Daphnia pulex: one gene and its partner. The protein of the gene in region 1 purifies or fractionates together with the protein of each later gene. This does not show direct contact. Links are inferred from orthologs where the notes say so. Each region holds a gene or a part of one and is shown on either strand. Other genes may lie near its edges. The genes, in order: isoleucine--tRNA ligase, cytoplasmic-like; leucine--tRNA ligase, cytoplasmic-like.

Region 1 (6,888 bases):
AATTGGCCTTTGAGTCGCGCTCCAATGCGGTGATCCGGTTCTGCACGTAGACTGACTCCAAAACTGTCCTTGTCGGTGGTCAGTTTGAGAGCACGGACATTCAACTCTTCCAGAATGTATCGTTCCATAGTCCTCAATTCATCCAAGGACTCTTGCTCACGGAGGATAACAATCACTTCCGGCAAAGGGTACTGCAAATTATTTGAAAATGATAATCAATAACCGGCAGCGACAGAATATGAAAAAAACGATCGAACCTTGATGGGCAGAGTGCGGCGATCACGAAGAACACGTCCGAGTTCAATCACCACTTGCATCCGACTCACGGCATTTTCAATTTTGACATCAATCAAATGTTTCCTAATAAAAATGAAGCATTAGTAAATGTTGATTACTGCTTGTAGAATTTTTAATACTTTGGTTCAGGCGTAGAAAGGAAATGAACGGATTCCGTCGTTCCGGCTTTCTGGTTGGCCACTAAATGACGCAAGTTGCGGTACATCAATTCGGTCAGGAAGGGCGTGAATGGGGCCATAACACGGATCATGGAAAACAAGACACTGAAAAGTGTCTGCAAGGCGTGATGACAATCGTCCTTGCCACCATCTCCCTAAACGACCAAATGACAATTAATCTAAGGTGTTGTGAAAATAAACGAAAAGATTTTTACCTTTAGTCGCTTACGGTTCATCCGCACGTACCAGTTGGTCAGGTAGTCTACAAACCGGACAAGACGAGGAACAACAGTGTACAGCCGATAGGCAGCCATTTCTTGGTGGACGAATAGCAGCAAGGACTGAGTGTAGGAAATGATCCAGCGATCCATCACATTCGTTGACAAATTAGAGGCCTCTTCTTCATAAACGAATTTAATTCCATCTTCCTGTAGCCAAGAAAAATGCATCAATATCAAAATGTCTAACAATATCTAAAGAAAACACTTACGCGCTCGAGACGTTCAAGATTTTGGACAAAGAATCGGTAAGCGTTGTACCAGGGTAGGAAAACGTCTTTGATAATATCTCGAACACCTTCCTCTTTGAAGCGCAGATTCTCCGCACGAACAACTGGGGAGTTGATCAAGTAGAGACGAAGAGCATCAGCTCCAAATTTATTGACAACCTATAAAAGTCGAAAAAAGTAAGTTAAACCATTTTGTTTAGATAGAAAAAGAAAAAATAAACTTGCCAGCATTGGATCGGGGTAGTTCTTCTTCTTCTTTGACATTTTCTGGCCGTCACTGGCCAACACCAAGCCGTTGACAATCAAATTTTTGAACGGTGGTTTATTGAAGAGGGCAGTCGACAAAACCAACAGCGTATAGAACCTAAAACAGCCAAGATATTATTCGTTAAATGCCTACCTCAATTTACTATTAACAAACATACCATCCGCGTGTTTGATCAATGCCTTCGGCAATGAAATCGGCAGGGAAACAGTCCTCAAATTCTTTCCTGTTTTCAAACGGGTAGTGGACTTGAGCGTAAGGCATGGATCCAGATTCGAACCAACAGTCGAAAACCTCTGAGACACGTTTCAAGGGTGGCCGACCGGGAATTTTGGAGGGAATAGTGATGCCATCAACGTTCTCGCGATGCAAATCAGTCAATTCAATGCCCGTGAGTTCTTTCAACTCGGCGATGGATCCGACACACACCACCTCTTCGCCATCTTCCGACATCCAAATGGGAATTGGAGTGCCCCAGTAACGGTTGCGACTGACGGCCCAATCTCTGGCGTCACGCAGCCAGTTGCCGAACCGTTTTTCTTTGACAAAGTCGGGCACCCTAAATACAATTCATATGGGTCAACACGCAGTAACACGAAATGTATAACGTTTGTTACCAATAAGTTTTCTGGTTGTTTTCCAACAGCTGTTTGGACATTTGCTCCACACGGATGAACCAAGAAGGAACAGCACGGTAGATAAGGGGTGTTTCAGAGCGCCAGCAGAAAGGATAGCTGTGCTTTACGGTGCCGGAATTCACCAATCGGCCACAGTCTTTCAACATTTTGATAATGTTCTTGTCTGCATCTTTGACGTGCTGGCCGGCGAAATCAGTAACTGGATCAATGAATCTTCCTCCATCATCCACAGGACAAATCATCTCCTGATCTCTTGAGATAATGCCAGCTGCCAGGCAAACTCGGTAATCGTCCTCACCAAAGTATGGGGCTTGGTGAACGATACCAGTGCCGGATTCGTCGGTGACGTAGGAATCCGTTAAAACTTTAAATGCTCCAGAGCCGGAAGTCTTCAACTGTAAAAAAAAATCATGATTTAAATTACGACAGAATTTAATTATCTTTTAATTTCATAATTACGCTGGCAAAGTAAGGGAACAGTGGCAGATATGTTTTTCCCTTGAGAACTTCTCCTTTGAATCGTTCCACAATTTCGTATTCTTCTCCAGATTTGAAAAGTGCACTGAGACGAGCTTCCATCATGATGTAAACCTTTTCTGTTGCTTTTTCTATCAAGAAATATGGAGAATAAAATTGTTTTAGGTTTTACTTTATTTAATAGTTACAGTTGTCTTAAACAAACCTTTAACTCGAACATAGTCCAGCGTGGCGTTGACGCAAAGTGCAAGATTACTCGGCAGTGTCCATGGAGTAGTGGTCCATGCGAGAATAGACACTGACGGCTCATCGTCAAGCGGGAAGCTAACAATTACTGTATTTAAAAGACAAGTAATTAAGAATGGCTTGAATGTAAATAGAAATATATGATTTACCTGCCGGATCAACCACTTCTTTGTAGTTCTGTCCCGACTCGAAGTTGGACAATGGAGTACTACAAGCCGTCGAGAAAGGCATCACTTTGAATCCACGGTAGACTAGCCCCTTCTCGAAGAGTTGCTTGAAAACCCACCAGATTGATTCCATGAACCACGGGTAAAGGGTTTTGTAGTCATTCTCGAAATCTGAAACACAAAACATTGAAAAGATGATTTAAAAAATAGTAATTGAAACAAAAGAAGTTGATAGAAGGAAATTTTTACTTACCAATCCAACGTCCCATTCTGTTGACAATGGTCTCCCAGTCCTCTGCGTAACGCATGACAATCTTTCTGCACTCGGCGTTGTAATTGGCAATTCCCATTTTCATGACATCTTCTGGGCCTTTGATCCCAAGAGTTTTGTCAATTTCATATTCAACTGGAAGGCCATGTGTGTCCCATCCAAAACGCCTCTCAACATGAAAACCATTTTGATGAGCATATCGGGTGACAATATCCTTGATAGTTCCAGCTAAGATGTGCCCATAATGAGGAAGGCCAGTAGCGAATGGAGGTCCATCATAGAATGTGTACCTATGATAAGTAAAAATAAAATCAAAATGTTAAATTTGTAATTTTTAAGATGCAAATTAAATGGATTGATTTGCATTACCTAGGTTTCCCTTTGGACAATTTCAAACTGGTTTTAAATGCATCAATTTTCTTCCAGTATTCCAAGATTTTTCCTTCTTCCTGAGCAAAATCAATTGATTCGGGAACTGGTTCCACCATTTCTAACTGTAAAAAAAAGTGTGCAGAAAAATGTCTTTACATTTCGTAAAAAACATATGATGGACTGTTAACATGGTATCAATTTCCTACTTGTAAAGAGTTTTAACCAAGCAAAATAAACGATTCTGTAAACTTACAAAGTGCCACATAAACTGTTTTTGACACAATAACAAGAAAAACTGGTATTGAGTTCACATTGCTGACATAAGGAGCGATAAATTTGATTTTCTCATCAAACCAAATACTTCTATGAAATAAACTAAATGCATGCAATGATAACTTTATAATTACCTAAAAATAAATGAATCAATCCAAGAAACAGTAGCTTATCTATCTTCCACGAGATTTCCGGCTCTTGATCGCTGAATTGCTGAATTTTACATCAGAATTTCAAGAAAAATTCGTCTGCTACCAAACGCAACGTTGCCACACTTTCAACATACGTATTTCAAGGGCAACGTGAACAGGAAAAGAGGAACTGATGAAGGAGGCTGGGAGGGGAAATCACGAAACAAAACTCAACAAATCACGATATCTTATTATCTTACATTGAAAAATGCATAAGCTCTTTAATTGTGTCTCACAGATGGATCCATGATGGATCTAAACTAGTGGTTATGAGATACAATTAACTTAAGAAGTCAAAACTCAAGCGGTATGCTGATTGCTGGTGTATTTTTATTTTCGTATAAATTTCGAATTGATAACACACTGATATAAAAAAAATTTTACACGAAAAATATATATAAATAAATAATTGCAGATCTATTTATTACATCTGGATTTTACCAAGTTAATCAATTGATTCGCAAATGAATCTGAAAGAATTAGTGCAAAATATATCAGCCCAATAACCAGCACTAAAAGTTTTGATTAAATCAAGGTGAAGGCAATAACCCGGTCCGTTGTTATCAGGTTGGCCTGGACTCCAATTCACGTAAGTGAACGGCTGAAAGGGTTCTGTAGATGCCCATTCCCATATTTTTTCTCCATCCAGGGAATACATCCCTGAAGTCCAATAGCTGACGCTGTTCAACTCTAGATTCACGCAGGAAAAAAAATATAATTTATTCATTGCACGATTTTCACTTGACAATTTACCTGGTGTAATTTTGATATGGTCGTAAATTAACTTGTCCTCCTCTACAGTTTCAAGACTGAGCAAACCCATACCTTCATCTTTACAAAAGGTATCCGCGGATATCCAATTCTTGCCGACCTGAAAATTTGTTGAAATTTGAACCTCATAACAAAAAAAATCTGAAATCGTGATTGGTTTCTTACGGCGTCGGTGAAAAAGCAATAACATTTCCCACCCAAGGTCCAGCAAGGCAGTTTAGTATTTCCTTTCAAATACGATGGACAATCTTCTGCAAATAAAATTCAAAAGAAAAATCATCAATTCCAATGTAAAGTGATTGTAGTAGGGATATAACAGCAGGATTGCAAAGGGATGTAGCTCAAATAATTGAAATACGTTTTCACATGCCGTACCTCCTTCTGGAATAGTTGTTGCGAGTTCGGTGGTCGTTGTTATAGCGTCTGTTATGTCGGTAAATTCAGTCGATCCTGCTGACGTAATCCCTGTCGATTGCTCCTCTGTTGTCGTTTCTTCAGTTGTAACGGTTGTAGTTTGATCACTGGTGGTTGGTAAAGGAGTAGCAGATGTGGTTGTAATGGCTGGTGGTGATGTTTCAACGGTTTCCGTACCCGACGTTGATGTTTCAGGGATTTCCGTGCTTATTGTAGAAGTAATAGGACCCGTTGAGTTCTCCGTCAATTCAAAATCATTTGAAGATGTCGAGGTTGTTGGCGTGGTAGACGTGGTAGACGTGGTAGACGTGGTGGACGTGGTGGACGTGGTGGACGTGGTGGACGTGGTGGACGTGGTGGACGTGGTGGACAGAGTTGTTCCAGTCGATGTGGTAGATGAAGTCACTGGAGTAGCAGTCGTCAATGAAGAAGTTTTGGTCAGTGTAGTCGATGTGGTTGACGAAGACTCTTGAGAAGAAATGAAACGGAGGTCGTCGATGGCGACAGCATCTTCAGCATTCGTCCCGCAATAAGCGTAAAACACCAACTACTTTCGTAAGGCACAAAGTTCCAGATTAAAAAAGACACATCTCAAACAAGAAAACGAATACAAATTTAATACCGTCAAATTAGAGGATGAATCGTCCGTTATTGAAACGGTCTGAGACTGCCAAACTCGATTGTTGATATGGGAATGCTCGAACAAATTTGAAAGCAAACCTTCATTTCCGTTTCTGGCCAGATACAACTGCACATCAATTAGATAATTAACATTTAAACAAAGTCCGTCCTTCTGATAATATAAAATAATAATTTAATCACCTCCAAGTTTGTGAATTGTGGCCATTTAGAACGAATCCAAAAGGAGAATGAAAAGGAAACTTCGGTGTCAGACCCAAGGGTGAAGGTCTGACTGCGCAGAACAGCCACACCGAACGACAAAGTCGATCCACGATCAACTCGGAGATAAGTCGATCCGTTGGTCGGTGTAGGAGCCACATTTCCTGGCTCCCAAGGCAAAATTTTGTTCTCGACTCTCCACTTGACACCAGACTCCGACTGCTCAATCCATGGGTCAATTTGACCGTTCTCGAAGTCACTATCAAGATTGACAAGTTCAACCAATTTCGTGGGTCCGACCGTGAGATCGCACATTTGATGTTGACAACTAGCGATTAAAGTTGATGGCTTGTCAATGAGAAGTAATAAAAATAAGCCCACTAAAAACGAGAGACAACTTTGCATTTTCAGCACAAATTTGAAATTCAAGCACAAATAACGAAACTACGTCGCTACACAATCAACGGCCATACAAAACGAATCAATCTAGACTGAAGCTGATTATTATAGTCTGCGTTAGTTTGTTTTTCGTCATGAGCAGCTGATAGATAACACAAGTTTCGTAAGATTGTTGGCGTCATATGAAACATTTTATATGTACCTGAATATTTCGACAAACTTCGATCTGGCGGGGATAGATGAATTAGGTTATCCATTTGACATTTCAGTTGCATTATTTGCGCACAGATATTTCTACAAGATGACATTAATATTATCTACATTGTGCGTCAAACGCATTACTTACAGTATTGTGGGAGTCTGTGGTACTCATTACTGATGCAGCCGCCGATGAAAACTCCGATAAGAATGGCTGAAAACGTTACTACGATAACACACCCAGAAGGTGTCAACGATCTTTTCACCTGTAACAACTGCCGACTAAGAGCAATTTTGAATTGCTTGGTATCTTTCATTAAATTATGTTTCTATTTATAGCAACCTTATTATGAACAATGAGAGATGACCGCAGAGGTAAAATTATACCATACTGACTAATTAC
Region 2 (7,090 bases), on another chromosome or scaffold:
CTCTCTTTGGAGTTCTACTGTCAGCAACCCGATGAAACGTATACGGCACGCAAGTGAGCCCAATTGTTGTATTTTTAAATCCTTGAAATTTACAATGCAACAATATACGTCAAACTTGACCCAATGTCAATTTGTACCCCATTTTCCTCGACCGCAACCGTGTTACTTTCAACGTTCACGAAGAATGTACTTGCTTCAGTCAGCTGAACCTTTCCTCTTTCTAAATCGTCACTCGTAGGAATTTTTCTAGGGCCAAGAATAGGGTCTTGGAAGCGCCAAAGGCTAACGCGTTTGGGATCTAAAATACAGAGTAAGTTGTAAAATTGTATTGATTATTTTTATTTCTATTTATTACTGCCAAAATACCTTTAATTTGTTTATGATGTTTAACCAAACGACTGACTAATTTTGCCGGAGTATCACCCTGCATTACTGTCAGTTTTACTTCAAACAAACCAGAAAGAGGTTGAGGATTGACGAAGTTGATGGAAACTCCAGGTTGGTGACGGAAAGTAATATGAGGGGTGCCAGGAACGCAGTCTTCTTTAATCTTCTCATCAGCCGTTGAATCATCAGAATAAAGGACGTTCAAACCCTCTAACTGCTCATACCCAGTCCCGCATTCAAATGAATAAAATATACAATCATATGCACACATATTTCGTTTCCTATGTTAACTTACGTCTAACGTTGCGGTGAGATACTCTATGTTCTTCGTAATTACTTCTACTTCGTCGAAATCCATGGTTAGATTGAGGGCACGAATGCCGTGCTTGGCAACTTTTTCTTTCGCCACTTGAACAAAAGGCATTACTTTCTTTAGAGATTTTTTCAATTCTGGTTTCGAGCTTAGTTCAGTTGACAGCCATTTGTTGTCAGGCATAACTCCGTCTTTCTGAAATCAAAACGAAAATAGTGAAATGAGAAACACACACGCAAGTTATAATTCCAGCTTTTTTTTACGTTAAATCTTTCTTGAAGCAGGGTCAGAATAATTGATTGCCAAGTAGGGTAGCTTTTGGCTATCCAGATAGTTCCGTGGGTGGGTTTTCCAGTTGGTACATTGACGGCTTTTTTAGCGCCTTTCGACGTAAGTGATGCCAAGTATGCTTTCAGTCGCAAGCGGAATTCGTGAGCAGCCTGGTCTAAATAAGCGCCCGCGCTGATGAGAACGCTGTCGTATTCAGGAACTGTCGGCCACCGAGATTTCAATATGCTTTCTTTATGACCAAGCAGTTCCCAAATATGTTCCGCGACGTGCGGACAAATCGGGGAGAGAATAACAGCTTGAGTTTCGATATACTTCAAAATTAGTTTTTTATGAACGTTGCCCATGCTTATTTCTCTATAGGTGTCACGGATGGCTTGGTATTCAAAGAACCCAGTTCGGAGAGCCTCTGAATAAATTAAAAAGAAAAGTTAGATTTTTTAGAATTATAACTTCGGCTCCATTTAACTAAGTACCTTTAAAGAGCATGCGATCGTAATTCTGATTTGTCTCAACGATTTTGAGATTCATTTCATTATCAAAAACTTGATCGTTAAACGTGTAATCCGAATCTCTAAGTTGATCCACTGTTGCAAGGCATTCTTTAACCCAATCAATCAAGGTATACAACCTGTACAAATAAAAAAGGGTCAACTCGTACGTTAATTCTAATTGCAATATAATATAACGCTACCTCAAAATACCAGCGTCTGCCATTGCTTCAACGAAGTTTGCGTCTTCCACAGAATCACCCGAATCAGCCAAGGCTAACCTCATACCGTCAGCGCTAAACTTATCAATAGCGTCAGAAAGAGTCAAGAAGTTGCCTGTTGATTTTGACATTTTTTCAGAATTGAGCAGCAAGTGACCATTGGCTCGAATGGCTTGAGGCCACCTGGAATATAAAATTTGTAAAACAACAAACATTTATATTGGTTTACTTATTTTTTCCAGCATATTGTTGATTACCTGTTGGGTTCGTTTGGCCAGATGGCAACATGGTTGTATAGAAAATAGGTCAAATGGTTGGGAACCAAGTCCTTGCCTGATACGCGCAAGTCTACAGGATACCAAAAATTGAATTCTTTCTTCAAAGTACTCAATTTCTCTTGAGGAATCGTAGTCTTGGGTAGGGATGCTTCTTTGAAGAAAATGTAATCCCAGACCTCGGGTGTCATTTGATCGGCTTTGATCCCCAAGGCGTTTTCTCCTGAAATGTAACATCATTACGAAATAAAAAAATGTTTTAACTAAGGTTGGATGTTTATAGATATTTGATAATGTACCTCTTCCATCAAAAGTATTTCCTTGCAACAAATGCGCGACCGTATAGTACGCCATATAAATGGTGGAATCTGAAAGCGATTCTATTAGCCATTTTTCATCCCAAGGCAACTTCGAGCCAAGACCATAAGTTCGCGAGCACGCATGCTCTTTAAGCCAATCTAGGGTGGCAGTAAAGTTTTTACGAACTTCGTCGTGATAGGTTTCAGTTTTCGCCAAAGCTTCTGTAGTGCGTTCCCTCCAAACTCCCTTTCCGTAATCGAGATACCATTGGTCACAGAGAGCAACCACGCACTCGTCACCTGATCTATATGTCCAATATTTTGCATTAATATAACACGACAGAATAAATATGTGAAAGAACATTACACACCTTGAAATGATCGTTTTCTCTGGTTCCATGTAAACAACTGCTTGCGCTGCTTCAATCATTTCCTTCTGAATCACTTTTTTGACATCTTGCACTTTCTTGCCCTGATGAGGTCCAACAAGGAGAACGCCATCGTAGAACCCTAAAACTCAAAATTAGATCTATTTCTAACTTTCGTTAATGAAAATTATTATACCTTTCAAATAAACAAGTTCTTTAGCCTCTTGGAGTTTATCTCTGTCATTTTGACTCTGGATTTTGAAGCGATCGCATGCATAAACTGCACTCAGATTCCCCAGTTCAGGAACTTCTACAATTGGAACAGGCTCAAATGGTAAAACCATTTCATCCTTGATTCCGTATTTTTCTCTGTAAATAATTTTAAAAATCCGAAAAATGTTTAGAAAAATGTGGAAGACTGACGAACAGGAAACTTGTAAATACCTTAAGGGAGCTTTGTTTTTCAGATCCCGCAGAGCCGCATAATCATCTGGAGAATCAGAAGGAACACTGGTTACAATACCAGTTCCTTTATCTTCTTTGATTGTCAACATAGGCAAAGTGTAAATCGGAGAGAAACTAGCCAAGGGAGACTGTAATGCCGCACCCAGTATTTGCTATAAAAAAGGGGTAAGATATAACAAAATGTAATGGTGAAAACAACAATATAACGTTAGACTTACTTCGCCCTTGATTGTGGCTAAAACCACAACTGTTCCCACGTCAGCTGTCATTTTCTGGAACGACATGTTCAAAGCTGCTCGGTAGGTGCAAACAAAAATCTCATTGGATTTTGTTTCAAAGACAATATAATCCATGTCAGGTCGCAACCAGCAATTGGTTTGACCATACATTGTTTCCGGTCGAAGAGTAGCAGCTACCAAATAAATGGATTTCTTATTAAAAGGCCTGAAAATGAAAATACCAATTAGATGCATATAAAATAGAAAGAAGGAATTGGCAATCATTGTTAGCAACTTACTGCAAGACACTGGGTAATGGATCCAACACTTTCATTTTGATTAGTGTGTATTCCATAGGACCAACACCTTCTCCCGATGCCCGGTCGTGATCCATGCATGGTTGGTCGTCCTTGGGTGAAAAAATGGTGTACCTTTCACCAAACTGGATGTGACCACGATCTTTTAAACGCAAAAACTGCCAACGAACAAAGCTATCGTAAAAAGGATTTACGTCTGTCGTAATAAACGACCGTCGCCAATCAACCTAAGAAAAATACCGATTTAATCAACAATTTAAACACTGGAATTGAAGGAACTCACGTGCAAGCCTAACTTCATCAAATCTCTTTTAGCTAACGGAGGGAAAAATTTAAGCCAGTATTCTGCATTAGCGAAGGGCTTGATTTCCTCATCATTTAAGCCAAGACTTTGCATAATTTGCCATTGGTATTTGGCTGTGCCTGATTTAGCAACAGCCTTGCTTTTTTTGCCTATGACAAAAATAAATAATTTAGTCATTATTAACTACTAATTTACACAAATTTATAATAAGGAAGATACCCTTGGATTTATCCTTAGGAATTGAATTATCCTGAACTTCCTCTACTACTTCTTCCACATGTTCCGGAAACTTTGGTGGGAATCCAAACTGTTCCATCTCTCGTTTCAGTTTATCTGCACATGCCTGAAAAAATTTCATTAAACAACTTGATTTGTGATTTCAATAGATTTTAAGTTTACCTTAATTGGCATTCCTGTGCAATGAAATCCAAATGGATACAAACATTTTTTCCCCTTCAATCGCTGATAGCCCACAGCTAGATCACACTTCATTAGTGTAAAAGTATGTCCTAAATGCAACAGCCCGTTCATGTAAGGATATGGAAAGTTAACAAAGAATTTTTCAGCAGTTTCATCTTCAGGTGCATCTTCTTCAAATATCTTGTCATTTTCCCATTTTTCTTGAATCACTCTCTCAAGATCCAGAAGAAAATCAACCTTGAATCGCCCCTTTCTCTCAGTCATATCTAATATAAATCAAATAAATACAATATTATAGACACTGAAAATCAGAAATAACCTGAGGTATTTTACTGATTGAAAAAGAAGAAAATCCAAGAAGTTATCAAGCGATGACTTTTACGTCCGGCAAGCAGACGACAGAATATTCAATTGGGAAACGCAAGTCTTGCCTTGCCTCAGCAATTCACGATTATCTGATTGACCGATTACACGTGTGCAACACGCTCTAGCGGCTATATAAAAAGGCCAGGAATCTCGTTTTATTTATGTGCACATTACATGCATGTTATTTTTTCTTTAATTAATTACATATTTATAACATACATGAATGGGGATTCGGCGAAAAAAGAAATTCGAAATCGCAAATTAAAATCCCTTCCTCAACGTTCAGCGATTTAATTATAATAAAGACGGAAAAGGGGCGAAAGCCTAAAGTAGCGCAAATGCGCAACCAGCAACGTCTGATAGCATCTCAATTGGTTTGAAAATGGTTCCAATTTCCAAATGATCTTTGCACGAAAAGCTTTATCTGTACAAATTGAATGGCAAGCTTTTTATTTTTATTTCAAATCGCGCATTTCGAAGAGAACGAAACTTTCATATTTCCAAATCTTTCCCCGATAGGTATCTCACAAACAATAATTAAATTAATTCCTATCTTTGCAGCATTAGAATCGAATCGCCTTGCGATTTTGCATAAAGTAGAGCTGTTCCACAATTTTTTGAGTCACTTTCTGGGTTCCTTTTTAAAACACCGGCTTCCTAATAAAAAAAAAAGTTTTTTCTTTAGGCCTATCACTTAAGTGCTTGAAAATTTTTTCCGGGTTCCGTTTCCCGCGTCCCACTGTTTAGTAACCACTTACTTTAAAAGTATTAGTGGAAGAGAATAAAGGGGGAGGTTTTTGTATTCTTTCGAAGCCTCAGAAACGCGATCATTCATTGCGCTTAAATTTTCAACGGTTTTAGATCTATTTTATAGGTGGAAATGAGCACAAAACAAGCCGTTATTACATTGCTTAAACAAGCTGATGCAGTTTGCTTTGATGTTGATTCTACTGTGTGTATTGGAGAAGGAATTGATGACTTAGCACTCTGTTGTGGAAAAGGACAACAAGTGAAGGAAATGTAAACACAACTAAATTGCTTATCTTTTCAATTTTGAGTTTGTAGCTATTTTCTATACATATTTTATGATAGGACAAGCAAAGCTATGTCCGGAAACGTGGATTTTAGAGAAGCCCTTAAACTAAGACTTGTATATTAATTCATGTTAATTAAAATTTTATTACATAATACTTTAAATGATTATATTGTCTTATTAGAACCTGATTCAACCTCACTATGATCAAGTAGTGCAAATTGCCAAAGAACAACATCTCAAGATAACCCCTCATTTAGAGTAAAAGCAGTTTTTACTTAATATTTCCATGAATTTTATTTGATCAGTAATTTTATTTTTAGAACTTTAATAAAGACCCTTCATGTTCTAAACAAAAAACCATATTTAATATCTGGTGGATTTGAATCTTTGATACAACCAGTTGCAGATCACCTTGGAATTCCCAAAGAAAACATTTATGCTAATAAGCTTAAATTTTATCATGATGGAACCTATGCTGGATTTGATGAAGATCAACCAACTTCCAGATCAGGAGGAAAAAGCAAAGTGATTCAAACAATTAGGGAAAAATTTGGCCATTCAATTATTGTGATGATAGGTGATGGGATAACGGACTTGGAAGCATGCCCACCTGCTGATGCATTCATTGGTATAATCTAAAAAGAATGTTTTGTTATTCTATACCTACAAGTCCTTATTTTGGTAATAGGATATGGAGGCAATGTCGCGCGAGAGGTTGTTAAAGCTAATGCTGCATGGTTTGTTACAGATTTTCAAGATTTGATAAATGTTCTTACAGATTAACATTGTCTACGAAAATTGTCGTCTTCTTTGAACTATTTGTTATTGATCTAATAATGCAGTTACTGATTGCACTGGATGATAACCTAGTAATATACATCGATTACAAATTTCCGTTACCGCTATTTATTCATCTTCGAGTCGTTCGTTCTTTTTCAGGGGCCATCAATGTAAAACAAAAAAATATGTTTTAAGTAAATTGCCATTAGAAATACTAAACTAGACAAACTTCTTTTTACAACTATTAACTGACTGTTAGGCCTACAAAAAAATTAAAAAAATAGGCTAGTATAATGTGTGTGGAAGGGAGAACTAGAAAAACTTTTGTGGCTCTTGAGACAAATAAATTTTTTAAATGTCATTAGTTGTAATTTATCAAGCCAGTTACATAAAAAAAGACTACGGCGAACGAAGAATCTGACGAGATCTTAACGGATAGGTGATGGAACTGGTGCCATTCCTGGATGAGGACTGCCTCCTGACATGGCAGCACCAGGGCCCAACAATATCTTTTAAATTTCAGTAATATCAATATCAATTGG

Evidence for each region.
Region 2: the proteins of isoleucine--tRNA ligase, cytoplasmic-like (region 1) and leucine--tRNA ligase, cytoplasmic-like purify together in Homo sapiens (affinity purification with mass spectrometry; 7 studies listed by BioGRID and IntAct, counting the BioPlex papers as one, with this or other methods). This does not show direct contact. The link is inferred for Daphnia pulex from reciprocal best matches to the Homo sapiens genes IARS1 and LARS1.

What each region holds. Positions count from the first base shown.
Region 1 is NC_060019.1:990,164-997,051, reverse strand, and holds the start of isoleucine--tRNA ligase, cytoplasmic-like, read right to left. Parts: upstream 3,952-6,888; 5' UTR 3,807-3,951; intron 3,522-3,806; 5' UTR 3,516-3,521; coding exon 3,397-3,515; intron 3,318-3,396; coding exon 3,010-3,317; intron 2,928-3,009; coding exon 2,739-2,927; intron 2,678-2,738; coding exon 2,549-2,677; intron 2,475-2,548; coding exon 2,326-2,474; intron 2,262-2,325; coding exon 1,846-2,261; intron 1,788-1,845; coding exon 1,389-1,787; intron 1,328-1,388; coding exon 1,189-1,327; intron 1,123-1,188; coding exon 946-1,122; intron 884-945; coding exon 671-883; intron 611-670; coding exon 417-610; intron 361-416; coding exon 258-360; intron 192-257; coding exon 1-191. Other genes in the region: mucin-21-like, read right to left, coding at 4,309-4,553, 4,617-4,734, 4,800-4,885, 5,010-5,595, 5,671-5,796, 5,871-6,293. UniProt on the Homo sapiens protein: Catalyzes the specific attachment of an amino acid to its cognate tRNA in a 2 step reaction: the amino acid (AA) is first activated by ATP to form AA-AMP and then transferred to the acceptor end of the tRNA.
Region 2 is NC_060027.1:4,477,878-4,484,967, forward strand, and holds leucine--tRNA ligase, cytoplasmic-like, read right to left. Parts: upstream 4,835-7,090; 5' UTR 4,700-4,834; exon of another isoform or gene 4,686-4,699; intron 4,633-4,685; 5' UTR 4,631-4,632; coding exon 4,346-4,630; intron 4,290-4,345; coding exon 4,166-4,289; intron 4,096-4,165; coding exon 3,926-4,095; intron 3,870-3,925; coding exon 3,625-3,869; intron 3,552-3,624; coding exon 3,326-3,551; intron 3,260-3,325; coding exon 3,087-3,259; intron 3,012-3,086; coding exon 2,839-3,011; intron 2,785-2,838; coding exon 2,646-2,784; intron 2,580-2,645; coding exon 2,275-2,579; intron 2,199-2,274; coding exon 1,958-2,198; intron 1,884-1,957; coding exon 1,683-1,883; intron 1,620-1,682; coding exon 1,465-1,619; intron 1,398-1,464; coding exon 964-1,397; intron 896-963; coding exon 683-895; intron 602-682; coding exon 367-601; intron 299-366; coding exon 90-298; 3' UTR 55-89; downstream 1-54. Other genes in the region: phosphoserine phosphatase-like, read left to right, coding at 5,613-5,752, 5,825-5,882, 5,950-6,026, 6,089-6,396, 6,457-6,551; mitochondrial import receptor subunit TOM22 homolog, read right to left, coding at 6,977-7,057. UniProt on the Homo sapiens protein: Aminoacyl-tRNA synthetase that catalyzes the specific attachment of leucine to its cognate tRNA (tRNA(Leu)).